7 linked regions of the Xenopus tropicalis genome follow. The protein of the gene in region 6 interacts with the protein of the main gene of each other region in a pairwise test. Links are inferred from orthologs where the notes say so. Each region holds a gene or a part of one and is shown on either strand. Other genes may lie near its edges. The genes, in order: abi2, ankrd40, jakmip2, rai1, zmiz2, pin1 and amot.

Evidence for each region.
Region 1: the proteins of pin1 (region 6) and abi2 interact in binary tests that used the Homo sapiens proteins (3 or more experiments, as listed by UniProt). The link is inferred for Xenopus tropicalis from reciprocal best matches to the Homo sapiens genes PIN1 and ABI2.
Region 2: the proteins of pin1 (region 6) and ankrd40 interact in binary tests that used the Homo sapiens proteins (3 or more experiments, as listed by UniProt). The two-hybrid records come from large-scale screens. The link is inferred for Xenopus tropicalis from reciprocal best matches to the Homo sapiens genes PIN1 and ANKRD40.
Region 3: the proteins of pin1 (region 6) and jakmip2 interact in binary tests that used the Homo sapiens proteins (3 or more experiments, as listed by UniProt). The two-hybrid records come from large-scale screens. The link is inferred for Xenopus tropicalis from reciprocal best matches to the Homo sapiens genes PIN1 and JAKMIP2.
Region 4: the proteins of pin1 (region 6) and rai1 interact in binary tests that used the Homo sapiens proteins (3 or more experiments, as listed by UniProt). The two-hybrid records come from large-scale screens. The link is inferred for Xenopus tropicalis from reciprocal best matches to the Homo sapiens genes PIN1 and RAI1.
Region 5: the proteins of pin1 (region 6) and zmiz2 interact in binary tests that used the Homo sapiens proteins (3 or more experiments, as listed by UniProt). The two-hybrid records come from large-scale screens. The link is inferred for Xenopus tropicalis from reciprocal best matches to the Homo sapiens genes PIN1 and ZMIZ2.
Region 7: the proteins of pin1 (region 6) and amot interact in binary tests that used the Homo sapiens proteins (3 or more experiments, as listed by UniProt). The two-hybrid records come from large-scale screens. The link is inferred for Xenopus tropicalis from reciprocal best matches to the Homo sapiens genes PIN1 and AMOT.

Annotation. Positions count from the first base shown.
Region 1 is NC_030685.2:54,198,274-54,203,075, forward strand, and holds the start of abi2 (abl interactor 2), read left to right. Parts: upstream 1-1,567; 5' UTR 1,568-1,649; coding exon 1,650-1,766; intron 1,767-4,802. UniProt on the Homo sapiens protein: Regulator of actin cytoskeleton dynamics underlying cell motility and adhesion. Functions as a component of the WAVE complex, which activates actin nucleating machinery Arp2/3 to drive lamellipodia formation.
Region 2 is NC_030686.2:46,622,586-46,627,277, forward strand, and holds the start of ankrd40 (ankyrin repeat domain-containing protein 40), read left to right. Parts: upstream 1-1,496; 5' UTR 1,497-1,568; exon of another isoform or gene 1,569-1,801; 5' UTR 1,802-1,863; coding exon 1,864-1,970; intron 1,971-4,403; coding exon 4,404-4,552; intron 4,553-4,692.
Region 3 is NC_030679.2:43,563,626-43,567,657, reverse strand, and holds part of jakmip2 (janus kinase and microtubule-interacting protein 2), read right to left. Parts: intron 3,302-4,032; 5' UTR 3,177-3,301; coding exon 3,048-3,176; intron 1,605-3,047; coding exon 1,107-1,604; intron 277-1,106; coding exon 67-276; intron 1-66.
Region 4 is NC_030685.2:15,515,216-15,519,746, forward strand, and holds the start of rai1 (retinoic acid-induced protein 1), read right to left. Parts: upstream 3,016-4,531; 5' UTR 2,829-3,015; intron 1-2,828. UniProt on the Homo sapiens protein: Transcriptional regulator of the circadian clock components: CLOCK, BMAL1, BMAL2, PER1/3, CRY1/2, NR1D1/2 and RORA/C. Positively regulates the transcriptional activity of CLOCK a core component of the circadian clock.
Region 5 is NC_030679.2:126,301,246-126,305,277, forward strand, and holds part of zmiz2 (zinc finger MIZ domain-containing protein 2), read right to left. Parts: intron 1,140-4,032; 5' UTR 1,114-1,139; coding exon 1,064-1,113; intron 836-1,063; coding exon 721-835; intron 457-720; coding exon 254-456; intron 82-253; coding exon 1-81. UniProt on the Homo sapiens protein: Increases ligand-dependent transcriptional activity of AR and other nuclear hormone receptors.
Region 6 is NC_030679.2:136,780,273-136,784,781, forward strand, and holds the start of pin1 (peptidyl-prolyl cis-trans isomerase NIMA-interacting 1), read right to left. Parts: upstream 2,953-4,509; 5' UTR 2,904-2,952; coding exon 2,846-2,903; exon of another isoform or gene 2,810-2,845; intron 1-2,809. UniProt on the Homo sapiens protein: Peptidyl-prolyl cis/trans isomerase (PPIase) that binds to and isomerizes specific phosphorylated Ser/Thr-Pro (pSer/Thr-Pro) motifs.
Region 7 is NC_030684.2:52,156,142-52,160,173, forward strand, and holds part of amot (angiomotin), read right to left. Parts: intron 3,742-4,032; coding exon 3,509-3,741; intron 2,259-3,508; coding exon 2,034-2,258; intron 1,425-2,033; coding exon 1,324-1,424; 3' UTR 1-1,323.

The sequences.
Region 1 (4,802 bases), on a different chromosome or scaffold from region 6:
TTCTCCTTTTTTAAATGGCTGCCCCCATGGCTACACAGCAGGGTATTTATATAAGCTGTAGTAGTGTTTATTAGGAAAACACACAACTTTTACCAGTGCAGAGCAATAGTATATAATATATTATTTTTATACACTTTCATTTTTTGGTGTTACTGTTCCTTTAATACAGTCTGCAGTGAGTCCTATATTGCTGAAGTTAAAAAAAAAAGTACTGGAAGCTGCTGGGGTTCTATAGCATTTGCAGATGGTGGTAGTTCAGACTGATAAAACAAACATGATCCATAATGCTCTTGTATTTCTTCCTTGATATTTTATTCACTCACTCCTCTATTCAAAAGGATCATTAGAAGTTTTGACTTACAGAAGAGCTGAGCTTTCTGTTGCCTTTAAGAAGAACAATTTCCAGCACCAGCAAAAGAAGGCTGTGCCCAAACTACTGGGTTTACTTTAAGTACATGACAAACAATGAAAAATGATCACAAACATGATGTGATCTGACCTATGCTTATGTCTAAAGCACTTTTCCTTGATATTTTATTCACTCAACGCTGTATTCAATAAGATCATTGGCAATTTTGACCTTCAGAAGAGCTGATCCTTTTGTGGACTTTAAGCAGTTGCAGAACAATTTCCAGCACCAGCAACAGAAAGCCATGCTCAAACTACTGACTTTAATTTTAGTTCATGACAAACTTTATAAAGCATTGGAAATGTCATGTAATCTGGCCTGTGTTTAATTATAAAGCATTGGAAATATCATGTAATCTGGCCTGTACTTAAGACTAAAACTATCTGGGTTGTGGTAAAAACCTTTCCACTGGTGGACTAAACTTATCTGATCCAATTGTTTAGAACCCAATGTAATGATCAGGAGCCCTGCAAACCAACAGGAAGGGACTGCATCCATGGTCAGATATGCTCCATGGCAATTGAGTGTTTTAAACTTCTGGATCCATCTCTGACCTTTATAATCATTTTATAATCAGAGGCCATCATTTTGATAACAGGCCAATAGGCAGATTATGTCTTTTTTTAAACTGAGCTAACAAGAAACCATGTGACCTTGAATTAGGGAAGCACTAAATTCATAATTTGTTATTATAAATGCAGGAGACTTTTCCCCCAAATTTTGAGGGTCCTATGATATTTATGTACATCCCCCATAGCTTCTAATTATGCAACTAGGCAGTATGATTACCAAATTCAAGCCATTTCTAATTTGCTGTGTTCCTTGTTAAGTTCTTATTTTTATTACTAACACTGGGCTTATATGTTCATTATCGCTAGGCTTTACGGATGATAAAAGAGAGGGCTGGAACGGTCACCACCTTCGTCCCTTCTATTCCCACATTCCTCCATCTCAGTGTCTCTCTGTTGCTAGGAAACGAGTTTTCAAATGAGGATGCAGCAGGACGGCCAGAAGCGCGTATTCCAGGGTTCCGCCTACCTATGTTGTGCGCATGCGTTTCCCATGGATTAGTGCGTGGAAGTGCATATCCTATTGGGCACGCCGCCTTTTTTTTGGAGCGCGTTCTCGGATTTTTTTTTAATTATAGTTACGCGCAGGGCGCGCTCCCGAGGATCGCTTCACCATTCCATCTCTCCGCAGTGTAGCGGGGCTCCAAAAGGAGGAGGATGTGGTGAAAAAGATGGCGGAGCTGCAGATGCTGCTGGAGGAAGAGATTCCGGGCGGCCGGCGGGCCCTGCTGGACAGCTACACAAACCTAGAGAGGGTGGCCGACTACTGCGAGAACAATTACATACAGGTCCGACTTTTTAGAGCTGTGAATGTGATGTAGCGCTAGACAGGGGCAAGGGAATACTGGACTGGGCTTCTCGTACACCGCCGATCTGCAGCTTTGTATAGATGTGATTGCGGTCTATGTCCCGGCATCTCTAGTTAGGCTTTCCTATATAGAGGGAGGGATGCTGGGACTTACAGAGAAATGACTAGTGAAATGCAGTGTGATGATCCTGAGTATAATGAAAGCACCGTGATGGGCAGGCACGTTGGGATATGCACGCACATTATAGTGTAATAATCCCACTCTTCACCCTATTGCAATATTGACCCTTACGGGTAGCTGTGCAAGCCTTGCTGTCACGTCACCATGTATTTATATATAGCATCACGTGGCACACACCACTCTTCCTACAGGCAGGGGGGGAGATGTTATTACTGCATTTTCTATAGCAAATGACATCATATTATGTGGGAATGTGCAGTAAAAATGTAAGATTGAGGCAATTGAGGTTGAGTGTAAAGAGTGCAATCTTAAACCTCCTATAATTGCCAAAATGGCCAGTATCAATATTGAGCCATAGGTTGCCCCCCAAGAATAGGTTACTTTGCTTCAAATCCACCCCCCCCCATTCACCAGTCACATGGTTCATTCAGTCAGGAGCATTATACTGGAATACACCTACACTTTATGGGCTGTTGGGTTATTCCAGACATGTCCACTATGCCAACTATGTGTGTGATGTTAGGAAGCTACTAAGCAATTGGTGAGATTCAAAATATCTTGGTTATGTTACCATTTAGTGTACAGTTGTAAAGAAAATGAACCTGCATACCTGTTCTGTAGGTAAGAGCTGGCTATAAGCAGTAAGTGCAGTGTATCAGAGCTGAGCCTATACTCCTGCCTATGGAATATGTAGGTTTTCTCTTTCCTTGTTTTGGGCTGCATGCCCTGACCCCCCATGTCACACGTTTATTAAAGCTGATTCTTAGGCTGTTAATTTTTCACACAGACACCAATGTATATTTTTCAGTCATGGAATACATTATTTGTCATATTGTGAAATGCTTATCTTTCATATATATATTTAATTGTAGTTTTATGGAGTAGAACACTGATGAAATGGTATGGGCTTTATATACAGTTATGCAGTGACTGCCCTAGGGTTTCATTACCACAGGGAGCATGTAATTAATGTGTGAGACATCCCTGATTTGTCCCTTTTTTATTAATTATGCAGGTTTACATTAGGAAATGCATCTTACGTTTCCCATGACACATATGTGCTTAGCTGTTAAAAACTCTTGTGGAGCGTCTGCATACTGCTTGGAAGGTTAATTACAACTATGTGGTGGTTTGATGTGGCTGTTTCCTTTCTGACTACCAAAAGGAGATGAAGCACACTTTACTCCTTCCAACACTCAGTTGAATGGGAAGCAGTTACACTTCCAATTGCTTAGAGGGGTCGTTCACCTTTGAGTTAATTTTTAGTATGATGTAGAGAGTAATATTCTGAGACAATTTGCAATTGGTCTTTTTTTATTATTTGTAGTTCAGCAGTTTTCCAGTTTGGAGCTTTAGCAGTTATCTGGTTGCTAGGGTGTAACTTACCTTAGCAACCAGGGTGATGTTTGAATTAGAGACTGATATATAAAGAGGAGAGGACCTGAATCAGTGACCCCCATTTAAAAGTTGCCAAGACTTACAAGAAGAAAGCAAACAATTCAAGAACTATAAAAAATAGTTTTTTTCTATGTTGAGTTTTGGCATCTGTTCCTTTCAGTAAATAACTAATAATAACTTGTATAGGCACAACACTTGCACCTTAGTATGTCTTACAGAGCCACAATGATCAAATAGATTGATGTATATTCATTTCATCTGTTGATTTCAGAAGTTCTTGAAAATGAAATAAAAATTAAAGAAATCGGATTGGTTAAATCGAAACCTGTTATCCAGAAAATTCTGAATTATGGCAAGTTCATCCCCTTAGAATCCATTATAAGCAAATAGTGCTTGATCCTGACTAAGCCACAAATCCATATTGGTGGCAAAACAATTCTTTTGGGTTTATTTTGGGCTTTAATTATTTTTAGCAAACATAAGGTGTGGTGATCTAAATTATGGAAAGACCCCTTATCTAGAAAACCCCATGTCCTAAGCATAATAGATTCACTATCTGTAATACTTAGTTTTGGTTTGTTTTTTTGCCGATTCAGTAAATCACGTTATCATGTTGATCTTGACTCAAAACGGAATTGCAAATGTAAATGTGCTAAAACTACAAAAAGTAAAATGCTTAGAATTGACCCAATAATGAATGATGTATTATATATGTATTAATGACCTAATATTGCCAGCATTGGGCTTAAATTTTTTAATATAGAAGGTTTGGAAAGTTGTTTAAACCTGGAATAGTGAGTGGGATTTTTTTTTGTCTGTGTTGTTGGTTTCTTATTCATACATTTACCTATGACTGGTAAGAAGATTTAATTTAAGACAGGTTTGGGAGCTGGCTGAATTTTCTCATTTTTGGGATTTGCTAGAACCAGTTGAAAATTTACTGGCCAAATAGCAAAAATACATTTTTTTTGCTCTAGAACCTTAACATTTTAACAGAAAAACTTCAGTTCATATTTTAATTTGTTTATTAGGGTTCTGGTTTAGTCCAAATATTTATGTGAAGTATTATGTATGTATGCCTCCCTGCTATAAAGCTATGGTGTTGACATCCCTCATGTAATATTTTAGTGCAAACCAACAGGGAGTTAATAGCTGTGTTCACCATATTCTGCTGCAATGACCTGTAGGGGTTTCAGTGTAAATCCAATGAGAATGTGCAATAAAAAGAAAATGAGAATTGATTTCTACTTATTATCATCTCAAAAGAATTAGCATAAAATTCATGTTCAGGAATACTTCCTTTGGTGAATAAGAAAGAAATAAGGAATATTTTATTAAGTGATTAAATAAAAATGTAGGTGCCATTTTTATTATTTGTGCATCATAGTAATAAATATGTTGAATTAGGGCTAAATTTCTTCTACCTGGATTCATTCA
Region 2 (4,692 bases), on a different chromosome or scaffold from region 6:
CTGCTGTCCCGCTGTCCCGGATTCTTATCAAAATGTCCCGCGGTGCCTTTAAGAGTCCCGCTCGTCTGCAGGTCTTCTCGGGTTTTCTCGGCTCATTCCGTCACCGCTATCTTCGGATCTTCACGGCTTCTTCCGCGCGTTTGTCTTCGGCTCTTTCTGGCTCCTTCAGGTGCTTTGGCATTCGGTCCTTTTGTAGTTTTATGCAAGTCTCGCGAGATGAGTATGGCAGAGCAAGCCATTTCACTTGAAATTCAGAAGTAACAGGATGGGTGCTGGTGCTGCTCCTGCTCAGACTGTGGGTCACAAAAGTTACGCTGGTGCTGCTGTGCCTTTATCTACTACTGTGCAAGCTCTACTTACTGCTCCTTTTTTTAAAAAAAATAAGCTTGGTGAGTCCCTGACTGTAACAAAGGTGTTTATTAATAATTAATATTAATTATTAATAAACACTTTTGTTACAGTCAGTAATTATTAATAAACACCTTTGTTACAGTCAGGGACTCACCAAGCTCATTTTTTTTTAAAAAAAGGAGCAGTAAGTAGAGCTTGTACAGTAGTAGATAAAGGCACAGCAGCACCAGCGTAACTTTTGTGACCCGCAGCCTGAGCAGCACCAGCACCCACAACAACAAAAAAAAAATGTGCAGGAAGAAGCTGTGAAGACCCAAAGACAACAGTGACAGAAGGAGCCAAGGAAACCCGAAGGAAGCCAAAAAGACCTGAAGACGAGCAGGACACTTAAAGACACAGCGGGACATTTCAGTAAGTATCTGGGACAGCGGGACGGTGTGCAAAAATGGGACATCTGGGGGTGTGGCCATATAGTGGGCGCGGCAAAATATTTTTTCCCTCTTTTTCGTTTTCAAATGTTGGGAGGTATGGCCTAGGGCCCAACGATTGGGGGATGCCAGGCAGGAGCCTCTCCTGCCTACCCCATGTCATTGCCCCATTGCCCCAGCCGCTTGTCATTACGCGGTGGGGGCAATGATCCATCGCATCGCACCCCGAGGTTGCCTAGGGCGCCTGGTCGCCTCGGCCCGCCCCTGAACAGGACCCCAAAACTCCCAGAAATGTGTTCAAACTTTAAATAATCTGCCAAATTTAGTCAAATGTGAGTGGTGTTTAGGGGGTGTGGCTGCAAAAAAATGGCCATGGTCAAAAAATCATTTATTTTTGTCCCTCTTTCCCTTTTCAAAATGTTGGGAGGTGAGATACTGAGTCAGTCTCAAACTGAGGGGGGGGAGTGATTGCTTAGACCTATAGCTTCAAGGAACCTTCATTATAATAATCAACAAAATGAAGAATCGCTATAAAAAATACATCTAAACACTAGTATTTATTATTGAAGCCAGTGGCGCAATATTATGCCCCAGCAAGAGACACATTCCGGGCCTGTGTATTCGTGCGTAACCCGGAACCAAAGTGCCGCGCCTGCGGTGTCCCACGGATTCCTGTCCCCCAGCAGAGTGTTCCGGAGACATGCCTCCATCCGGGAGGGCGGATTATCTCTATTTTTACGTTAAATCGGAAGAGTGGGATCGTGATCTTGGGACCTTTACAGTGTGATGGTTGGTGTGTGAGTGGGACTGAGCCGTACGTACCCTGTGCGTTACACAGCTATTATGTTGCTTTGGGCCCGGGGGTAGGGCTACACTGGCACCACTTCCCTGCCCGCTCCGGGCTCTCTCATTATCACACTGCCCCAATTATAGATTCTTTTCTACTCGTTTGATTCGCAGAAGAATCACAAAGCTGCCTTTTTATTTTGCATAAAATCTGATATATATTTCTATTACTGCAGCCAGATGAAGATGTTACTAGAGTAAAACCGAGGTCCCATTTTTATTTTTGGAACCCACCTACATGGAAGAAGGATTGAGGGAGGCTGCTGCTTTGGGGGATTTGGAAGAGGTGCAGAAGCTGCTGAGATGTGGGGCCAATGTTAATTCACAGAATGAAATCAATGGCTGGTAAGTGGCACCCCCAACCCCCATCTTGTTGTTTATATGGGGGTGGGGAATTGGTTCTGGAAGTGTAAGTTCTCCCTGCAGGGTAGCATGGCTCCAGTAGATGGGTATTCAGGTAGGCACAGTGGGACAAATATAGGGTCCTGTTAGTACTTGGGCACTCCTAGGCAGTTTGGGTGATGGGTGTTATTATGATATATACATATATATATATATATATATACATACACATACATACAAGAACAAATGGAGCACACCCTATACAAGATCAAAAGCCCTGAGTGCTGGCAAAAATAAATCCGATGTTTCGAGCACTAACGGTGCTCTTCCTCAGGGTTCGTGCTCGAAACGTCAGATCTTTTTCAATAAATACTTTATTTATATATAAATATATATATTTATATACAAAAAAGTTCTCACGACCGCACCTCACTCCAAAATGCTAATAAATAGCTGCCCATGTGCACGGAATACAAAATAAAACACAGCCAGCACCAAGGGTCTTATAGTTCAAAACAATCTCAAGTGTATTGCATGTATAACCAATAATACATGCAATACACTTGAGATTGTTTGAACTATAAGACCCTTGGTGCTGGCTGTGCTATATAAAAGAGCAATAAAGGCCAGCACTCACGGGACTTTTAAGAAAATATTGTGTCAGCAAAAATAAATGGTATACAAAAATTGTCTACATGGTTTTTTATATATATATATATATATATATATAACAAAATAAATATAGGGGGTCTGATAGCTATCTGACTAAGGGTCCCCATACACGGTAAGATCGCCAAGCGAGCGGATCTTCCCCCGATATCCCCACCTACAGGTCGGCGATATCGGGGAGCTCGAAGTTAAAAAAATAAAAATAAAAAATAGGCGATTATATAGGCGGCAATGTATCAGTCGGTTCGGGGACCGCATCAACGAGCCGATGCGGCCCCCGATCCGACTGAATCTTTTAACCTGGCCGATCGATAGCTGGCCAATTTCAGGCCAGATATCGGTCGGCCAGTCTGCTCGTTTCTGCCCCTACACGGGCAGATAAGCTGCCGAGTCGGCCCAAGGGACCCATATCGGCAGCTATTATCGGCCCGTGTATGGGGGCCTTTAAGCATCAAATGGACCTTTTCTACTCTCATCACAGATTTCTGCTTCAACCAAGCCAGAACCCTGCAGAGGTATGGAGGAGAAAATTAACAAAGCAACCATCCAGGATTTTGCTTTAAAGGGGTTGTTAACCTTCAAAATAATTTTTATAATAACATAAAGGGTGCTGTTCTGAGACAATTTGCAATTGGTCTTCATTTTCTAATATTTGTGTTTTTTTAATTGCTTTTTGTTCAGCAGCCCTTCAGCTGGGAATTTCAGCAACTATCTAGTTGCTAGGGTCCAATATAACTTAGCAACCAAGCAGTGGTTTGACAGAAAGACAGAAATATGAATAGGAGAGGGGCTGAATAGAAAAATAAGTCATAAAACGTAACGATAACAATAAAACTGGAGCCTCACAGAGCAATAGTTTTTTGGCCCCCATTTAAAATCTGGAAAGCTTAAAAAATATATAAAAAATGTAGACCAATTGTAAGAATAGGCCATTCTATAACATACTAAAAGTTAACCTGAAGGTGATCCACCCATTTAATTAAAGTTATCCATTATTAAGTATATATCTCTGTCCTTGTTCCTTATCCCTCTGCGCCATTGCTCTAAATCATAGCTGATTATATGCAGTGGGCAAATTATATATGATATTGCAGGTTTAAGGGCTGGATTACATTAAAAAGATAATATACAGTAAGGTCTGTGGAGCTTTTAGGCAGCCTGGGAGCCATAAAAATCCACTCAGAGGCCTCCCGTTGGATGGCCCTGCTCTAAATGATAATGTACCATTCGGGTAAAGGGTAACCGATCCGGTATTGTCCACTGGCTCTGACTTGCAGCATGGCTCCAGTGCTTTTGGCATGCACATATATGGGTTTAATAGCCAGACTCCCAGATGGATATTTTCATATCTCTTTATGGCAGTAGTGTTTTGGGGGGACCCATTCTCTTTGGGCCTGATGAAGGAAACATGGAAACATTGCTGCAATAAATGTAGGAGCAGGGACGGCACAGAGTTACTCTTTCTGTAAATTTTTAGGGATCGGCACTCCACTAAGGCTCAACTTTGTAGCTGCCTTTCCACCCTGCCTCCCTGCACTCACCCCAGTTATCAAGTGGCCCCAGTGGCTTCTACCCCAACTCCCAGAGTAGCATTGCCCCTCCCAGTATCCCTCAGGCTCTTGACTGGCATCCCACCCACACTCCTTGATGATGTCACTCACAGCTAAAGACACCCAGGGCGGCTTTCAGTATAGTACTGGTATAACCCAGCTGTTCCTCTAGACCCCACTGGCCTATATTCATTATATTTGTATGTATCTCCCCAAGGACTTGCCTGCATTGGGCGTGCAAGCGGAACCACCTGCACGTTGTGTCGTTCCTATTAGAAGCCGGAGCCGATGAAGATATTCTAACGAGCAAAGGAGAGAGGCCAGTGCAACTGACGTCCAAGAAAGACATCAAGAGGCTTCTGGGAGGTGAGACTGACATGCCCAGACTGGGGGTTCTACTTACATGGATACTAGTGATGTGTGGGTTGAAAAATTTCAAGCCGACCCGGCCTGCTAAGCTGCGTCAGTTTATATACCCACACCTGCCCCGCCTCTGACATCACAGT
Region 3 (4,032 bases), about 93 Mb from region 6:
CTCATGTGCAGACAAACACACCTACAGTATATAGCACTGAAGGAAAATTAGATGAAATTCTGTTACCGGGCTGCCACAATGTTCAGAGCCATCCCCTGCTCGCCCTGGGATCTCCCTTTTAGGGCTCCCTACGTTGCACTCTGCCTCCTTTACTAGAAATAGCTGCTCATCCAAAGCCTCTTTCTGGAGCTGGAGCTTCTGCACAAAACCGGTCTGGGTTTCTAGTTCTTTCTCTAATGAGAAGATTATCCTGTCCTTTGCTTTTATTTCATCCATCTGAAGCACAACATTAAAAAAAAAAAAAAAAGAAAAGGTTATGTTATTATTCCATATAAGATTTTTTATAAAAAGCATCATACTGATTGAAAAAACAATACTTTACAAAGCAACAATCGGCACATCCACATATTGGTGCCCAGGTTGTGCCACAATGCAAAAACCTTGACATATACATATGGCACAGAACAGTGCAACTCTGCCTAGTCTTGTGCCTAACCTGGAGTTATGTGGTGTATAATTGTGCCAAATGGCATTTACCCCAGTGATGCAAAACCTTGTTTTGGCCAATCTCTTTTGACTTTAGACAAGTTACTTTACAGAGTATGGTTTGGGGGCATTAAAAGGCTCAGAAGCTGATAACGAAAATTAGACACCTGAGAAGTCCCTGATAATAAGCTACTCAGTTGCTTAGAGAAGGGAGGGGTTTGTTTCTTCAAAGGTTGATAGGAAAAATTGACCTGTTTTTAAAGAACGTTGGGATTAAGTTTAAGGAAATAGTCCAGTTTTCATATTAGTGCTTTATAATGGCAAAAATAGGAAAATATGGATTTTTTTAAAATGAAAACAATATGTTGAATGTAATTTCAACACAATGCTATTTAATGTGCTCATTTTTAGCAAAGGTGTCTTAAGGTGTATACTGTTCTACAACATTTTGTCCTGCTCCATACACTTATATCTGATTTATTTACATGTACCCTGCTATGGAGCCAGGAAGGTATCTCTTTTGTCCTACTTAAAATATTGCAAGTATTTTTTTCCCTGTGATATATATTTTTTAACATTGTAAACATATCTCTTTTTATAAGAATAAAATTAGGTTTTACCAGTCTTCTGATGTCCCTTTCACTTTCCCATTTAATCTTGGCAATGGCCTCTTGATGGGACTGGTGTTCACTCCGCAGATCTCCAGCTTTAATTTTGTCTGCCTGTATCATATTATTAAGGGCCTCGTCCACTTGCTTCTTGGCCGACTTTAGCTCTGTAATTTCCTGTAAGAGCTTGAGGCGCTCAGAGTCAAAAACCTTTCTGGCCTCCTCCCGCGCCTCAGTGCTCAGTGCTGTCCTTATTTTGTCACTACTGCCATCCCTCAAGGCATTGACAGTTGACTTGAGACGCAGGATCTCTGCCTCTTTTAGTTTGACCATTCTTGACATTTCCTGCTCGTGCTGTTTGATTAGGTTTTCCCTCACCGCCTGAAGCTCCTTCATCTTCTCTTCATGAAGCTTTGACTTTAGTTCGGTAACTGTAACAGTGTGTCTGTGCTGCTCTTGCTCCTTAATGCGTTTGCTTTCCTGGTTCTTCTCCCGTTCAAGTTTACTTACCTGTGTTTTGGAGAAAGCACAAGAGTTAACAATAAACAGAATTACATATCTAATGATAATTAGTATTATGCAAATTAAATACATTTTCATAAAAGAAAACCAATACGCAGCCTTCATTCTGGCCTGGGTATAGGTCAGGGACGCAGTTTAAATTGGTTTTCCAGCATCTTTGGGCTCCTCCACTTTCCTCCATTCCAGTACATAAACTGTGCACGCCGCCAGCTAAACAGGTGGGTCACTATTATATAACAGAAGGGGCAGTGATATTGACCCTTCTCTATAAAAATACAAAAGAGTCAGCATACTTTTCTAATGCTCTGAAGTATTGTTTTTGTTTTGTTTTTGGAGAAAATACCAGCACAGGCAATACTTTTCTTTAAAATGTTGTTCAAAAAATCAGATTTCCATTAAAATGTCAGTAACACAGTGAGATTAATAATAATAATGTTCTGGCATTTTATCACACTAACCCTTAAAGGACTGTGTACACAATTCCTGTAAATGCCAATACAAGTTATAGAGAGCATAGTGGCATTTGCTGGTGCTGTCAGAGAGCTAGCCTGAGCCTGTGAAAAGTTCATTATATGACAGACGACAGGACCTCAATTTTCATGATTTAGGTAACATAAAGTCTCCAGTTACATAGCCAGAAGAGACTAAAACTAGCTTCACCATGTCTCTACAGACCAAGGCTTTTTGTTGTCTTATATTAGTAGACATGCAATGCCATTGCCTACAATGAACAGTGTATGTCATAGTTGATCTGGGAGCACAGGAAATAATTCTGGTAAATATAAATGCTTATAATGAATTTGCACTACATAAGTGCTTCTACTAGCATCTCAATTAAAATGGTGCTTCTGCAGCCCTAGGCAGTCACCTTGGCCCTAGACAGCCACCTCTGTTTCCTAAACCCTATTCCCATTCTGGTCCTGATTAAAGCACTTGGTTTTGGAAGAGCTGTTGGACAGGAATATCATGAAACTGAAAAATGGCCATTTTATTTTACACTGTGATAGATAGAGGAAGCACAACCAGTGAGAGCTGGGGAGCCTGGAGGTATAGGGGGACCAGTGGAGCTCTGATTGAAAAGTAGGTTCAGCCTATATTTATGAAAAATGTTTTATTCTCAAACTTTACGGAACTGTAAAATTACAATAGTTTCTAGTTACACCATGGGTGTAGAGAAAAATTAGTGATAAGGATGAACACAACTACTGTTGTGTTGGACTGAAGACCCCTTACCATTCCAGCCTATATTGCCCCAGCCATTTACTTACAGCTATCATTCCCTTCAGCAGAGAATATGAAATCTTCTTTACTTTTGGAAGAGGAAAGTTGCAGGATGGACATTGTGCTTGTGTCATCTGGGATCATTTATGGTGAAGACTGGACATTTGGACATCTGGACATGCTGATCAGAAGCTAAATGGCTTTTCTTACCTTAGACTTTTCCTGATGCAGCTCAATTTGAATGTCTGTTAATTTTGCCCTGAGGTCTTCATTAGCAGCTTGAAGAGCAAGTAAAAGAGCTTCCGGCTTTTCAGCCTTGTTTCTGCCTTTCTTAGACATGATTGCTGCCTACTTTGTGTTGGTCCAACCTCGCGACTCAGTTAGGAGCAGCCATCCCCAGTGGATGTTGGGCCCCTCTTATGTTATGATGCAGGGAAGTACCACCCTTTGCACTCTTGGAAGCCCTGAAATAATTTAAAAATGTTTAATTTTTTATTATGTCACTACAGTTGCTGAATTAATTTGGTGTTTAGTCCCTTTGTTTAGGCATAGATTGTATAAGGTATTTATACAGGAGTGTTACTAGTAAGGCTAGTAATGATGTACTAGGCTAAATGGAAGAGATGTGTTTTCCTATAGTGAATTCATCAAGAGTAGTGGTGAGCAAATTTTTTCAGCAGGCATGGAATCGCTGGCAAATTCCACATTTCGCAACTGGTGATTTTTTTTGCAAAATTTGCCACAGAAAAAAGTTGTTGTGACAAAAGTTGGCAAGTGAAGAAAAAGTCTTGGTTGCATGAAAAAAAGTTGCACGCATTGAAAAATGTATGCAGTAGCCGTATTTCGGGAATATTTCAGTTTCGCAAATTTTTCAGCAGTTTCACAAATTTTTCAGAGAAGCAAAAAAGGAGAGATTCACTCGTCACTAATCAAGAAATGTGTGCTATAATTCATATCCTAACCACATTAAAAGGCAAGTGCAGGTCTTACACTTGCCTTGATTTTCTGTACATTAATAGAAAATCCTACTGACCATTCACTAGGCCTTTGCTTTACAAATGCTGCCACTCTAATCTGTGTGAAGGTTTTCCCTCTGTATGCAGATATTTACTGGCATTTCCCAAGAAGTGTGGATATACTGAAGCAGCAGAATGTGTGAGTGTATGATTGTCACTACTATCATTACACGGAGCAA
Region 4 (4,531 bases), on a different chromosome or scaffold from region 6:
AAAAAGCCACGGGGGGAACTGTGAGAGGGTAGAAGTGGTCTATATTTAGAACATGAAATTGGTGCCAAAATTTTTAACTTGTCAGTTCGGGTATAGGACCCGTTATCCAGAATGCTCGGGACCAAGGGTATTCCGGATAAGGGGTCTTTCCGTAATTCGGATCTCCATACCTTAAGTCTACTAAAAAATCAATAAAACATTAATTAAACCCCATAGGGTTGTTTTGCATCCAATAAGGATTATTTATATCTTAGTTGGGATCAATTACAAGGTACTGTTTTATTATTACAGAGAAAAGGGAATCATTTAACCATTAAATAAACCCAATAGGATTGTTCTGCCCCCAATAAGGGGTAATTATATCTTAGTTGGGATCAAGTACAGGTACTGTTTTATTATTACAGAGAAAAGGGAATCATTTAACCATTAAATAAACCCAATAGGGCTGTTCTGCCCCCAATAAGGGGTAATTATATCTTAGTTGGGATCAAGTACAGGTACTGTTTTATTATTACAGAGAAAAGGGAATCATTTAACCATTAAATAAACCCAATAGGGCTGTTCTGCCCCCAATAAGGGGTAATTATATCTTAGTTGGGATCAAGTACAGGTACTGTTTTATTATTACAGAGAAAAGGGAATCATTTAACCATTAAATAAACCCAATAGGGCTGTTCTGCCCCAATAAGGGGTAATTATATCTTAGTTGGGATCAAGTACAGGTACTGTTTTATTATTACAGAGAAAGAAGAAATCAATTTTAAAATTCTGAATTATTTGATTAAAATGGAGCCTATGGGACATGGGCTTTCCGGAATTTGGAGCTTTCTGGTTAACAGGGTTTCCAGATAAGGGATCCCATACCTGTATCACTTTAATGCCCACCTAATGCCATTATCTGCAATGGTATCAGCCCTAAAATTCACTTTTGATGGTTTGTGGGCTTAAAATTTACCCTGTGTGCCAAGTGACAGGCGGATACCTTTAACTTTAGTACCTGGGCCCACCGGAGAACATGGCCTCTAGTCTTCCCTGCCCACAGTGATCAGAACACCTGATACCTGCCCCCACTTCCCGTGTGGTACAGCAGGGCAAAATGACTGAGGCAAGTATTGGGCAGCAGTGGTACGGGCCCAGGGCCCTGCGGGACTGGGACAGGGAACTCCTAGTACCCAGTCACATGCATTTTGACATGGTTTCTTGCCATTGGGCATGTTTGTAATAAGGAAATATACTGGTATTGTTGGATTCTTCCAGCCGAACAGCTGAATAGCTCTACCGGTGGCACTGCCATTCAAGCACAAACAACCCTATATACAGATAACATACTTGACAATCTGTCAGAGCAATCAGTGTTTTGGGCGCTGTGCCCCAAAGCACTCAAAATGGAGCCCCATAGACACTGAAGTTGCCTAACAAGGGTCACTCCTATTCTGTCTGAATGTGTCACATGTTATAACTGAATCAGTGAAAGCAAAACCCCATCTATACGGTAGATACCAGCAGCATGTACCACTTTATTGTGCTCCCCAATCTATATGGGGCCCTGGTATTCATATAGAAAGCGCTGCTGTGCAACCAGTGGCCCCATACATACACACTAACCCACAGTTACGCCCCCTTCCTACTCTTGCCTTACCATGCATGTATACAGGTGGCATCTCACTGGGGCCACTCTCCCACCCATGCCTTGATTCATATGAAATACGGTCTGAGGCCAAGACCCTCAGTTACACTGACCCCTCAGATGCTCAGATGGAGTAAAATTGTGCCTCACACACCCATTAGAGCACATATATAGTCATTATGGTTGAACGTGATGGACGTATGTCTTTTTTCAACCCAACTTACTATGTTACTATGTTACATAATAGTAGCTGGTCTATAAGGCCACCAAACAGGATGGCATTATGCCCACTGCTATATAAGGGATCTACACAAAAATCTCCCAACAGGCCCTCAGTGCCTACAAGTGTGCATATATATATATACACATATATATATATATATCATAGGTGCCCTCTACCCAAGGAAAGCTTTGTGACCAACCGCATAGAAGTATTTCATTAACTGAATGCAGTTTAGGTAGTCAGTCCTCACTGCCAGCTCTGACTCTGTAACCTCCAGCTGGTGAACAGGGAACTGTTATTGTTATTATTTCACACCATTGCACCGTTATAACCCCACCGAGAGCGCCACTGATGCCAAGGGGCTGGCACATGATGATGCAATTCTTGCCTGGTGCCAAGTCGGCACAACAATGATTTCTCAAGTGTTTGCAATGATATCACGGCGACAGTGGAAGCAATCAGTACATTAGGTTAAAAATGAGAAACAAAATATATATATATATACATTGCAGGCCTAATATTGTCACCTTGCACCCACTTCAGCCCAGCAGCAAGGACATTAAGTGTCACCTGGCACCCCCTTCAGCCGAGCAGCTAAGGGGTTAAATGCCACCTGGGCACCGCCCCTAGTTCAGCAGTTAAACTAACTGTCAACTTGCACCCCTTCACGCCAAGCAGCTAAGGGGTTAAACACCACCTGGGTACTGCCTCTATCATAAGAAGATAAGTGCCAACTTGCCCCCCCCCTCAAGCCCAGCAGTTAAGAGGTTTAAAGCCACCTTGCACCCCCTCTCAAGCCTAGCAGCTAAGAGGTTAAATGCCACTTTGCACCCCCCTTTAGTTCAGTAGCTTAGACACTAAGTGGCAGCTTGCACCCACTCAGCCCAGCAGCTAGCAGGGGTGCCAGGAATAAGAAGATTAAGGGGTCCCTACTGGTGGGCACATGATTAGTTGGTAGAACGGGTAAATCCCCCCTACCTCTCTCCAGCTGCCAGCTCCTCTGTGTCGGCTCCTTGTGGGGACAGGCAGGCACAGGCCATATGCAGGGGGGTCCCCCCTAATCCGGCTGAAGACAGGGCAATGCCAGGCTGCCAGGTGAGCTGTGCCCGCTTCCCTGCTCGCTATCGGTACAAAGACTTCCAGAGGAGGCTGCCCTGCTGTATATGGAGGGAGGGCAAGGGATGACGGCAAGGCCGGGAGCGCCCCCTAGTGGTGGATCCGAGTCAATGGACACCTAAGGGATCATTTCCTCCTCCCAGCGCTGGTTTAACCCCTGCAGCAAGCAGACTATATGGAACCCTGCAATGATAGGATGGGGGGGAGTCCAGAAGGAATAAATCCACTCACACCTGGAAGGATACCCCCCCCCCTTACACGCAGCTAATTGGGCCAAACCCAGAAACTGGGCCAGTCTCCCAAAAACCGGACCTCAGCCTCAGAGCACGACTTGATGGATTTTACCCTCCGAGTCGCTGACGTTTTTGGGCCAAACCACACGGCGCTATTTTAGGCAGGATAATAATAGCTTCTGGTTTTACCCCGCAGAGACATGGGCCTTTCCCTGTCGGAGGCATTCTGGGAATTTATATGTTCATTATATATAGTCAAATAGTGTGTGTTATACAATTACACATGTTCCCACATGCCCTACCCTGAAACCAGCAATGATAGAGGGCAGTCTGTGCTACTGTCTATGGTCAGTGTGTCTTGTCTCATAGAAACCAATGGAACCTTATTTTTAGAAGTGAACACAGACCCCACCTAACCCTGTTGCTGGTGTCCCTTGGTTTCTAAACTGTCCCAGGGAGAAACACCAGCATTGGAGAGATCTGATTGGCTTGGGAATGGCTGCCTGGGGAATGTTGGCTGGGAGAATATTACCAGCTACCCATTTAAACCCATAGCCACTTTCCAGTAAGCCCCGCCTCTTTTGGGTTGGTGGGTTACACCTCTGAAGCTACAGGAACTACTTTTGGGGAGGGGTTTGCTGTATTAGTTGCCCTTAACCCTTTCCTTTATAGTTATACTGTTAGTAGCTGTGACCTTTCCGTGCTGGGGCCCTGGGTTCAGATCCAGCCAAGGCCACACTGGCAAGGGGTTTGTGTACTTTCCCCCTGTTGTGTGGGTTTCCTCCCAAGGTTAAATAACTAAAGATAGTGAAAGGAGAAGCTCCATTTGGGCATTGCCTGTCATGTATAAATAATAAGGATAATATTCATTCTATAGAAGCTATGAAGTCGCTTCTGCCTGCGCTTTGCTGCCACCCAGAGGAGACCCTGTGCTACTGCCTGCTTTCTGGCTGGATCAGGGCTTTTTGGCTCCCCAATTATTTGGTCATTTGATCACAACTGATCTGATTCAGAAAGTCAAGGTTTTTTGGTTGCTGTGGGTTAATGCACAAATGCACAGCTCCGATTCTACATACTTCCTGCTCCTGGGCTGCTCTCTTCCCCATTGTCAGGTAAGGAACAGTCCAACAGAGAAGTCAGGTTGGGGGGCAGGAGGCAGTTCCATTGCACAGATCTCTAGGGGGAGTATAAAAGCAGATTGATAGAGCTCTACTTACTCTACACGGCTGCCAAAGTAATCATGGGGCCCATCATACTCAGCCCGGTGGCCCCACTTAATAGCCCACCGGTAACCTGTGCCTCCCTAGCATGTGGCCTTGTAATTGAGATGGG
Region 5 (4,032 bases), about 10 Mb from region 6:
GCCTGTGTGAAATCTGCTGGGCCACGACCGGTATGCTGTGGCATGCCCATGCCACCTGCAGATGTGGGGCCACCGGGGTAACTGTAGGACAAAAAACACACACACACATTTGCAATGACTGTGCTAGAAATACAAATATATACACATGCATTATACACTAATGAACACAAAAATTATAATTAATGGAAATATAGATCAACCTGTCCAACCACCACCCCACACCCACCTAAACAGCACAGAGCAGTTACAGTACCTATTGGTATACGCATTGCCCCCAGGGTATCCACCTCGCCCATATACGCTTTGCTGTAGGTAACTCTTTCCTGCTCCACCTTCAGGGAAACCTTGCTGGCCAATAAACTGGGGGCTTCCCATCCCCCCAGCATTGCTTGTTAGACCTGGCATAACTCCGCCCCCACTGGGGCCACCACTGGGCACCATGGGATTACCAAAGACCTGAGGAGAAGAAAGAATTAAAGAAAAAATGTAGTAGGTTCTTTGTAGTGGTCAGGCAAAGGTGCAGGAAACCTGTATATAAATATATAATATGTTGTGTGCTTTTTAGAGGACAAGTAAATGAGAAATGAATTGCAGGTACAATATAATATATTACAGGTTGGCTGGAAGGATTTAATGCATCAGTGCTTTGTAAGGCACTGGCAGGGGAAAGGTTAAGGCTGAACAGTTTAGAAGGCACCTCCCCCAGTGACATCAAATTACCTGGCTCTGCGATGTGTTGCTCAGACCCCAGACGGTGGTTACCACGGAGAGGGATCCTGCTGCCTGATTGGTGCTTGGTTGCCAGGGAACAGACTCGTATGCAAATGAACCATCACTGTCAGACAGAGGAGGAAAATAGTTGTGCGCTTAGAAATGGTAGCAAGTGCAGTGTGTGTGTGTGTGTGTGTGTGTGTGTGTGTGTGTGTGTGAGCATGCAAAGGGACAAGAAGGGCACGGATATAGGCAGGCAGGAGTCAGTGTGTGTGTTCAGAGGGAAAATGGCAGTGCACATGCAGGAAGAGCAGGGAGAGGTGTGAAAGAGATAGGGGTAGCGGTCTCTCACCTGTGCCCGGTGCTGGGGTGCGATGGTTTCATGGGGTTCATGGAGTTCATTTGCAGGCGACTCTCTTTGTAAGGGGCTGAAGAACAATGATATACAGTATCACCTCACCGTTCCCTACATCACAGCTGCTCAGTACCCTCCCTAGCAATTATGTGACGCCAAACCTCTCGCACACATCCCCTCATTCCCCACCCAGCTCATATCCTATACAGGGTCAGCACACTACTGGCAAGTTACTGAGCGGCAATTCACACAAACCAATGACAGCAATGTGTGAGGTAAATGGCTTCAGCCAATGCCAAACCATGCAAATACCCACGTTGGTTAAGGATGATGGAAGTCGCAGTTCATGGGCTCGTTTACCACAGATTTGATAGCCTCAATCTATTATAAAGAAGTTGCCTATTTTAGAGTCCGCTTTAGGGGTTAACAATTTGCTCATCTGCCCCTCTCCCTTCCTCTTGTCACATGACCACGCATTCTGTACACAGGACGTGGAAGTTGGCAAGTTGCCCGCATCTGGCACTAGTTAGACACCCCATGATTAACCCTGTTTCTGTCAGGAGACACTGTAACTGCCCAGCAGGGAAGACACCAATGAAAACCCCCTCATCCCCCTCACAAACAGGTACCGCCCTCTCTTATGCTCCAAAGTGCACGCTTAAACAAATTCCTTTGCCCATTCCTGGGCATTTGTACACAGGCAACCTCCCCAAGGGAGCAGGGAATTTCACCCCCAGCCACTGCAGAAACTGTATCTCAAAATCAACACATGACGTCCACAAACTTGGCTTGAGTAGCACCTAGCTGCATTTGGGTCACTTCATAAAATGGAGGCACATAAATACATATATGCTTCTACACTGGGGTGCAGCAGGACTGGTAGCACGGCAGCCTACAAATACATTACAGGAGGAGTCAGCTGCTGCTCAGAAGGCAAGGGTCACCAGGGTATGTGTGCACAGAGGAGAACCAATGAGCAGCACACTAGCAGGGGGTCGGATAGGGTGTGCGCAGGAAGTACAGACACAGCAAAGGGAGTGCTCATTGGGGGACAGGAAGGAAATTAACAGGGGCAGGGACGGAAAAGGCTGAGCAGTAAGTGGGAGACAGAAATGAACAAGTGCAGCAGGGGAAGGGGAAACTTTCTTTGTGAGTGGGCAGGAGAAAGGGGTAGCAGGTGTCGACAGCAGGGCAAATATAAGGAAAATATACGAGGAAAGTGTCGGACAGACTAAGAAAACAATCTCCACTTCTACACTAGTTTATTATCAATTATCCAGAAAACTTTATGTTAACCCTAACATAAGCTTTTTAATTGTTATAGTGTTTGAATTAGTGAAAAAAAATGTTTGCGGCTGTCCAGTTTGCAACTGAACACCTGTTACCTGGTTGCTAGGGCCCTACCTACCCTAGCAACCAGGGTTTGAACTGGAGCATTACTAGTTGAGGGGCTGAAGTACATACAGGTAATAGTAAAAATATCAACAAAAAGTAAACTAGGTTCTTTTACAGAGGATTTAGATATCATAATGGCTGATGATTAATGAAAGGGGGTTGCTGGGAGTTAAGGTACAGGAATCTATGTAAGTATGAAGTAGATGTAAAAACAAAACCGGGTTAGGGGGGAAGGTTGGGGTTGTCACAGAACACAAGCAGGTACGGTATTCATTAATACCCTGGCTTCAATAGGCCAAATGAGAAGTATAAGTGATGTACATCTAGCTACAAATCCCAGAATCCTTCACCATGCATATTGGCCAAGGATGCTGGGAGTCACAGTTTCAAAGAGTAGTCCTTAAGAAAACAGGGGATTGTCACATAACTGAAGCATGTATTCATTAATACCCTGGTTTCAGCAGGCTAAGTGAGAAGGTCTAACTGACATACCACTAGCTACAAATCCCAGATTCCTCCACAATGCATGTTGGCTACGGATGCCGGGAGTTACAGGCTGCATAACTGTATGGACATGAGTTTATTATTTCTGTGCTTGTAGGAATCCAAAGTAATAAATTAATAAAATGGTGAGGGGAGACAAAAAAGTCGATAATGCCCAGACACAAAAGCGCAAGGGCAGGCATACAATTCCTGGAAAAAGGCATGAGTTACCGAGCAGGGTTAATGAGCATGGTGCAGCCAGTAGGGCTGGCATTAATACACAAATCCTCTACTCCTCATCATGCTGCTCCCTCCGCCTCCCTCTCTCTCCCAACATGTCCCTGGAACATCGGGTTCTGTCTTGTTCTTGCTCAACAGGATCAGTCTGTCCAACCCAAACAAACAAGAATGCATAGCCCCCTCCCTCACAGCACAGCTCCCCTCTGTACTGCACAGGTCTCACTCCAACACACAGCAACAACACTCTGCACTGCACAGCAGTGCCCCACTCGCTGCATTACAAACACAAATGTGATCCCTGAATCCCAAACACAATCCACCCTCCCTGTTATATTACTTTTTATCACATTATTTAATGAGAAACAGCCACGAGAAACTCCCATCCTTCCTGCACTCCTTACTATACAGCATCACATCTCCTGCCTGCACTCCTTGCTATACAGCATCTCACCTACTGATTGCACTCCTTGCTATATAGCATCTCACCTACTGACTGCTCTACTTGCTACATAGCATCACACCTCCTGCCTGCACTCATTACTATATAGCATCACACCTCCTGCCTGCACTCATTACTATATAGCATCAGACTCCCTGCCTGCACTCCTTACTATATAGCATCTCACCTCCTGCCTGCACTCCTTACTATATAGCATCACACCTCCTGCCTGCACTCCTTACTATATAGCATCACACCTCCTGCCTGCACTCATTACTATATAGCATCAGACTCCCTGCCTGCACTCCTTACTATATAGCATCTCACCTCCTGCCTGCACCCCTTACTATATAGCATCACACTCCCTGCCTGCACTCCTTACTATATAGCATCACACTCCCTGCCTGCA
Region 6 (4,509 bases):
CAAGACAAAGCACAAGAGAGATGTAAGGGCAAAGCCTCGTGCAACCTGTGCAAACAAGCAGTGATACTCACAGAGCTGCCAACATCCTAATGTTTTAACCAAGAGGGTAGCTGTGCCTGTACCACAAATATAACTTAATAGCGCTAGTGGGGGACAGCTATATTGATTATAAAGTACAGCAAGAGTATCTAGTACACAGGCAGTAAAGTAAAGCCAAAGTTTGCTATGTCAAAAGAACATTTATTCCCTGCTTACGTCTATACTCACAAGCAGCCATAACTGGGTATAAAAAAAAAAGCAGGAGAATTCATAGCATAGCGTTACTCATACATTAACATATCTGCTCATTTGATCTGAGCCAGATCGGATTGTTCAGATTGACTGGCTTCTGGGCCAATAAAAAGCAGATTCTAAAATGGCCCTATGCAGACCCATTAGTCAAGGACAACATAAACGCACTAATTCAGTTCTCGTCACCATACATGCATTTATGTATAATTTTTTTGTAAATAGTGCTACTTATGAATGCAGCACTGTACATGGGCCAATAAGCTGCAAACGATCTCTCCCTACTATTATCCCCCCACCGCTACTATAGGCACCATCTCTCCCTACTATACCTGCTATCCCACAGCCCCAGTCCCTTCCCAGAGGCTATTATCCCCCCACTGCTACTATAGGCACCATCTCTCCCTACTATACCTGCTATCCCACAGCCCCAGTCCCTTCCCAGAGGCTATTATCCCCCCACTGCTACTATAGGCACCATCTCTCCCTACTATACCTGCTATCCCACAGCCCCAGTCCCTTCCCAGAGGCTATTATCCCCCCCCCCCACTGCTACTATAGGCACCATCTCTCCCTACTATACCTGCTATCCCACAGCCCCTTCCCAGAGGCTATTATCCCCCCACTGCTACTATAGGCACCATCTCTCCCTACTATACCTGCTATCCCACAGCCACAGTCCCTTCCCAGAGGCTATTATCCCCCCACTGCTACTATAAGCACCATCTCTCCCTACTATTCCTGCTATCCCACAGCCCCAGTCCCTTCCCAGAGGCTATTATCCCACTGCTACTATAGGCACCATCTCTCCCTACTATACCTGCTATCCCACAGCCCCAGTCCCTTCCCAGAGGCTCTCTCTCCCTACTATATCTGCTATCCCACAGCCCCAGTCCCTTCCCAGAGGCTATTATCCCCCACTGCTACTATAGGCACCATCTCTCCCTACTATACCTGCTATCCCACAGCCACAGTCCCTTCCCAGAGGCTATTATCCCCCCACTGCTACTATAAGCACCATCTCTCCCTACTATTCCTGCTATCCCACAGCCCCAGTCCCTTCCCAGAGGCTATTATCCCACTGCTACTATAGGCACCATCTCTCCCTACTATACCTGCTATCCCACAGCCACAGTCCCTTCCCAGAGGCTATTATCCCCCCACTGCTACTATAAGCACCATCTCTCCCTACTATTCCTGCTATCCCACAGCCCCAGTCCCTTCCCAGAGGCTATTATCCCACTGCTACTATAGGCACCGTCTCTCCCTACTATACCTGCTATCCCACAGCCCCAGTCCCTTCCCAGAGGCTCTCTCTCCCTACTATACCTGCTATCCCACAGCCCCAGTCCCTTTCCAGAGGCTATTATCCCCCCACTGCTACTATAGGCACCATCTCTCCCTACTATACCTGCTATCCCACAGCCCCAGTCCCTTCCCAGAGGCTCTCTCTCCCTACTATACCTGCTATCCCACAGCCCCAGTCCCTTCCCAGAGGCTCTCTCTCCCTACTATACCTGCTATCCCACAGCCCCAGTCCCTTCCCAGAGGCTATTACCCCCCCCACTGCTACTATAGGCACCATCTCTCCCTACTATACCTGCTATCCCACAGCCCCAGTCCCTTCCCAGAGGCTATTACCCCCCCACTGCTACTATAGGCACCATCTCTCCCTACTATACCTGCTATCCCACAGCCCCAGTCCCTTCCCAGAGGCTATTACCCCCCCACTGCTACTATAGGCACCATCTCTCCCTACTATACCTGCTATCCCACAGCCCCAGTCCCTTCCCAGAGTCTATTATCCCCCCCACTGCTACTATAGGCACCATCTCTCCCTACTATACCTGCTATCCCACAGCCCCAGTCCCTTCCCAGAGGCTATTATCGCCCCACTGCTACTATAGGCACCATCTCTCCCTACTATACCTGCTATCCCACAGCCCCAGTCCCTTCCCAGAGGCTATTACCCCCCACTGCTACTATAGGCACCATCTCTCCCTACTATACCTGCTATCCCACAGCCCCAGTCCCTTCCCAGAGGCTATTATCCCCCCACTGCTACTATAGGCACCATCTCTCCCTACTATACCACGGCCCTTTCCCAGGGGCCACTGTACTAATTTAGGCCCCACTAAGGATCTCTGAAGGGCCTTGCCTGCTTGGCTCCTGACTGAAGACCATTCCCGAGCAGGATACATACAATACATAGCCACAAGGCACCATGTTAATCACAGACACATCAGCATCTAAGCAGGAACAGATCGAACTCTGACACAAATGACACTGAACAGATAGGTGCAGATACTAGGGCACCAGTCATGGCCCCATACAGTAGCAGAAGCAGTCAATGCTTAGCATTTCTTAGTCTGTTTACAGGCGACTAAATACTATAATGCGCAATGCAAAGTGGGAATTGTAGTTCTGCAGCTTTGCAACAGCACCTTTATCAGGACGCTATGCACAGTGCAAGACACAATAAAATAGGAACAGCTACAAAGCAAACCAGCGCTGCACTAACTCTATATAACAACTGTGCCCGCTACACTCCATATACCCGAGCTTCGACTCATGCGCTTCTCCCACCCGGGCGGTAGCTTCTCCTCGTCCGCCATCTTTCCCTCCTGCGTCAGGCCAAGCCCCGCCTACACAAACCACTCCGTCAGCTCGGCGCTTCTCATTGGTTAAGTCCCTGCTAAGCTTTTAGCCATTAAGCTAACTAATCTGCCGACGACGTAGTCAGCCTGAAAACCGAAAGCAAGGGCGGGAAATGATATGCGCCCACTATTGGCTGTAACGGAATAAACGGAGTAATTAATAAAACAAGGGGCGGGGCTGAGAGGTTGTACGCATTGGCAGCAGTATGACGCATGCGCAGAAATGTGTTCGCGTCTCTCTCTATTCTTACGCATTAAAATTGCTCTCACAAGCATGGGTGGCAGGTTAGCGGTTTTTCTGCCAAATTGGGCTACTAATTTAAAGCCCTGGTTTGTTTTTAAATTACAAACCCGCCAAAGTACCGTTTTGGACTAGTTTTTGGAGCCTTGGCGGGTTTGTAGTTTGGAACCTAGCCAGTTTTTTCCCCTAGTGTGCTTGTTCCACTGCATGCTGGGTAATGTAGTTTGTAGCTAACAATTAGCCTACAACTAGGAGTAATATAAAACTACAATACCCAGCTTGCAATTGGGCAGTTTAGCCAGAGGCTCCGTTTTCTATTCCTTTTTGCTCTTTCAGGCTCAACCTGTATGTTCTGCTCCCTGCTCTATAGGGTATGTGATGTGGGGGCAGGTCTGTAGTTATCTTGGGGCTGCTGAGAGTTGTAGTTGAACGCACCCATATTTATAAGTCTGGGGTTAATGCAAGATTCTGAATCTATTTCTGTAGCGACTTCCCAGCTGGACTGGGCACAGAGGGCAGGGAATTATCAGCCATTCCAGTAACTGGGTAGTGATTATATGCTTTAAAAAGGCAGGTTTTCCCATATGTACTTTTATTTTTGTAGAATTTTTTTCATTGCACATTGGGCTATTTTTGGGTTACTTTCAAAGTGGGTTTGGACTAGTATTTCACTGGTTTTAGAACTGACTGGCGATTTGGAAAAATAAATCTGGCAATTTCACATACAACCTTCCCTGGTGGTCTAGTGGTTAGGATTCGGCGCTCTCACCGCCGCGGCCCGGGTTCGATTCCCGGTCAGGGAAAGTGTGTTTTGCTTAATTGTAACAACAGCCCTTTATTTTATTGCTCAATCGTTTTTATAACAGCAGCCATTATTAAAAAAAAGCTTGCCAGCTTTATATATAATATAGAATAAAATAAAGATGATAGTTAGTGATATTTTATTGTGTGACGAGATCATGTATGGCAGCTTTGCATGCTCACTGAAACTGTAGGCGGATTTTTACAAGAGAACTGGGATGATAGTACATTACAGAGGGGCTGTAGTGGTAAATGGAAAGTTTCACAAGTGCCCGGCTAGCTCAGTCGGTAGAGCATGAGACTCTTAATCTCAGGGTCGTGGGTTCGAGCCCCACGTTGGGCGCAACTCTTTTCTTGCTGATCTACTTGGTGGGTATTATTTTACCTACAATTATCAGTTTGTTATAGCACCAAAGTTTAATATTCACAACAGAGCATAACTAAATGTTTAAGTGATAAATTTGTTAAAGACCTACACCCGGACATTCTACTATTGAACTTTAAGCAAATTCAAACTATATT
Region 7 (4,032 bases), on a different chromosome or scaffold from region 6:
TATCAAGTAGAGGTGAAAGCTGTAAGGGCTGCTGTGCTGATGATATTAAAGGCAAACAGATCTAAACATACAGCAAAAAAAAAAAAAAAGTGTCTCCATGATTGGCAAATCTGTTACCATGTTCTTCGGATGCCCTGGAAACCGTGTAATGTTCTCTCTTTGTGATAGACAAAGCAGAGAGTATTGATTGCCAATAAACTGGGGGCTGTTGCTGATGCAAAGTTTAGCAGCACAAAGTCAGAGGCAGGCAGGTCAGTGAGAATTCATGCACTACTGTAAATACCCCAGCTATTTTTGCATAGCATTAATCATACTAGTAACCAATACAATTAATACTAAGCAAATGAGCCAAGAAGAGCCTGGGCGTGTACAGTAGCACTTCAACCTATACTGCCTTGACTTTATACTGCCAAATTCAGCTCTGAATGGATAATTGGCTAAGAATGTACTTTTGCTTGCAAATACCAGAGTAATCTTTACATTTATATACATTGGAAAAATGTTTTTTTTGGCCAGTGGTGTTTGTTTAAAATCAGAACTTCTCATGATTAGTTGTCAGAGCATCTCAGTATGGCAGCTCAGTCACTTAAACTGAGATACAGACCAAACTGAGTGCCACTAGTGAAGGACACTACAGTAATCCTTTCCAAACCTGATAACCAAGGTGAATTACTTGGCTTGTACATAAGGTCACACAACATCTACTGCCATAGTTTAAAAGCTGTTACATATACATATGCAATACTTTAAAATGCAGATGGCTGTTGGATCCACAAGGTTCAGCTTTTCTAAATGCATCCTGTTACTAGTACAGAGGTTCCCAGAAAGACTCACTGTGAAAGAGTATCATATCTACAAAAATTCTAATAAATGCATTTTGCAGAGTAAGGAACTTATTTTAAAGATGGCGGGAACAATAGAAACAAAAGAAAAAAAAATATTGTGGGGCCCACACACCAGCCACCCACATTTTTCTTCATATAATATATAAGTCATTATGAAAGAAGTGCATTCTTGTTTGGCGCAGTTCTGTTGGCAAATAATGCTACACACAGAGGCCTGTGAGTTAACCCTTCAGTGCCAGAAATGGCATAAATTCATTTATCTGCCTACAACAGTGTAGCCACGTGTAAATCCGGAAAAACGTCGTTCTGCAGAGATTCAGTCCCCTTTTTTGGTACAAAATACATGTGTTTTTTTAAATATGAAAGGAAAGATTACTGTAATAGAAAACAAACTTATTTAATTTGCTTAGTGTCCATATAAATAATTTGGGGCCACTCTTCCTATAAATAACTGTTATGAAAAAAATAAACCCTGTGCTTATATGAGATATTCCACCAACTCCCCATCTGTGAGATCCTGCCCCAGAGGTGGGAGAGGGTTCTTTCGATCCAAGGTGCTTGACTGGAAAACTGTGTCTGCTGGAAGATTAAACAGGAAAAAAAATCAAATTCAGCCACTTTATAAGATTAAAAAAATACAGTAGTTCTAAACCGTTGTGGTTCTAAATAAGACTAACATATGTGCTAGTATCACAAACAGTCTTTTCATGCCTTTTACAAATCTGTATTATGATTTAGTATGGGTTTTGACCTGGGGGCAGTGCACTCAGTTGACCTGCAAGCAGACAGAACAGCTAAGGGACAGACTGGCCTAATGATTTGTTTGTATAAGAAAAGTGGAGGAGATAGGAAAAGAAAATGATATCATTATAGCATCTTCTTATCTCCTTAGCCTGTCAGACAATTATTAGTGATTTATAAGACAATGATCTAGACCTACTACTAGACCTACTACTATGACAAGGAGGAGGTGGAATAAAAATATATTCCCTTATACAAAATAAAAACTGTAGTTTAATTTTCTCAACATGCACTTTATAGTGACATTAAGTTAACTTAAAAATCATATCTGGTTTTGAAACAATTTGCAACATTTAAATTTCAAAAACTGAAATGGTTTGTTTACATTTCAAAATAATTTGCTGTATAGCTAGTCCTTCGGAAAAATACGGTATTGTGGAATAGTACCTGTTCTCTCTGAGGTGTACATAGGGCTAGGAGTAGTCAGCCTCCCGGGGCCAGGAGAAGCACTCACTGATGGAGTTTTGTTTTGCTCAGCCCCTCTGTCTGTCTGTGTGCAGCAATCCTTGCTACCCGTCTTGGAGTGTCCAGAGAGAAGGGGTGTGGAGGGAAGAATAGGGGAGGGAGTGGAGGATGCAGATTCCGATCGATATTCAGTTCCAAGTAGTACTCCTAAAATAAAATATTTAGGCAATCCATCAATTATTTTACAAGGCAACATGAGAAAGTCATGTTTAAATATCACCTTGTGTGCCCTTAGAGCAGTGCTGTCCAACTGGCGGCCCGCGACCCCCCTCTGTGTGGCCCCCCACCTGTCTGGCTGCTTTGATGGCTTACTCTTGTGTAAGCTTTAAATGGTATCAGTACTGTGATTAACTGCCCCCCCCCCCCCCCCTGCATGGTTCTCACCTCAGATTCAGGCTGTAATCAGGCTGTATTGTTTAAATATGTAATCCCCTGTGTTGTTCACACCTTTTAATCTCTGCATTGTTCACACCTCAGGCTCAGGCTGTAATCACCCCCATTGTTCCCCTGTTCACACCTCAGGAGCAGTAGAAACCCACAAATAATCCCTGCACACTACAAAAAGAACATATACTGAGGTGGTACTACAATTAAAAAGTTTTTTAATATATAGTTATTGTGCAGACTGTAGGAGCAGTGCCAGCATTGTGTCACTGTAGGCTGCCTGTGTGTGCCATACACACAGGCAGCATAGGGCAAGCAGAGTATGGCACACACAGGCAGGGTAGGGAAGGCAGAGTATGGCACACACAGGCAGAGTAGGGCAGGCAGAGTATGGCACACACAGGCCAAGTTTGGCACAAACCAGCCAAGAATGGCACACACAGTGAAAGTATGGCACACACAGGCAGGGTAGGAAAGGCAGAGCATGGCACACACAGGCAGGGTAGGAAAGGCAGAGTATGGCACACACAGGCAGGGTAGGGCAGGCAGAGTATGGCACACACAGGCCAAGTATGGCACAAACCAGCCAAGAATGGCACACACAGTGAAAGTATGGCACGCAGGCAGGGTAGGGCAGGCACAGTATGGCACACACAGGCAGGGTAGGGAAGGCAGAGTATAGCACACACAAAGGCAGGGTAGGGCAGGCAGAGTATGGCACACAGGCAGGGTAGGGCAGGCAGAGTATGGCAGGTTTTTGCTGTACTACAACCATTAATATGGGTATGGTCATGTGATAACATGGGTGTGGTTTCAAGTGGGTGCGGTTTCAAAAAGGGGAGTTGTCAAAACTGGCTTCCATTATCGGCCCTCCACCACGTAGGTCGGAAAAATTCCGGCCCTCGGTACAACAGAAGTTGGACAGCACTACCTTAGAGTAATATAGTGTATGCAACTACTCAACCTTGAGAATTATATGAAGTTGGTTTGCTGTAATGTAATGCTATAATTACCCAAGCTGCCCTTCCAACTCTTGTCCTCCCGCTTCTCTTCCAAAATGGGAGTGCTACTCAGTGCAGAGGAGTGGGAAAGCAGCCCAGATCCTGCATTGGAAATGGACATAAGTGACTTGGAAGGCCGCATGGTAGAGGATTGGTCTGTTTTGCTCGGGTCCTTGCGGGACCGCTGCTGGAGAACTTTAATCATTGCATCTTTTTCAATAATCTGGGCGTGTAGTGTCTTTATCCTGCAAGACAAACCAAAAGAGAAACAAACGTTAACTTATATTGAATATTCTTAATGAGTTTACTAAATACTAAAATAAAAGAAACTTATGAAAACAAATAATTTCCCAGCAGGTAAGGACTCTTTACACCAACTACCCATTTTGTAATATGACTTGCAGATTTGCTCTGCCAGCCCAAAGCAATTGTTTATAATGACCAAAGTCTAATTTGAATGGAGTAAATATTACATGAATCATCACTGGCCAATAAGATAGACACTGCCAACTGCAGGGTCCATGTTATTCTAGGCT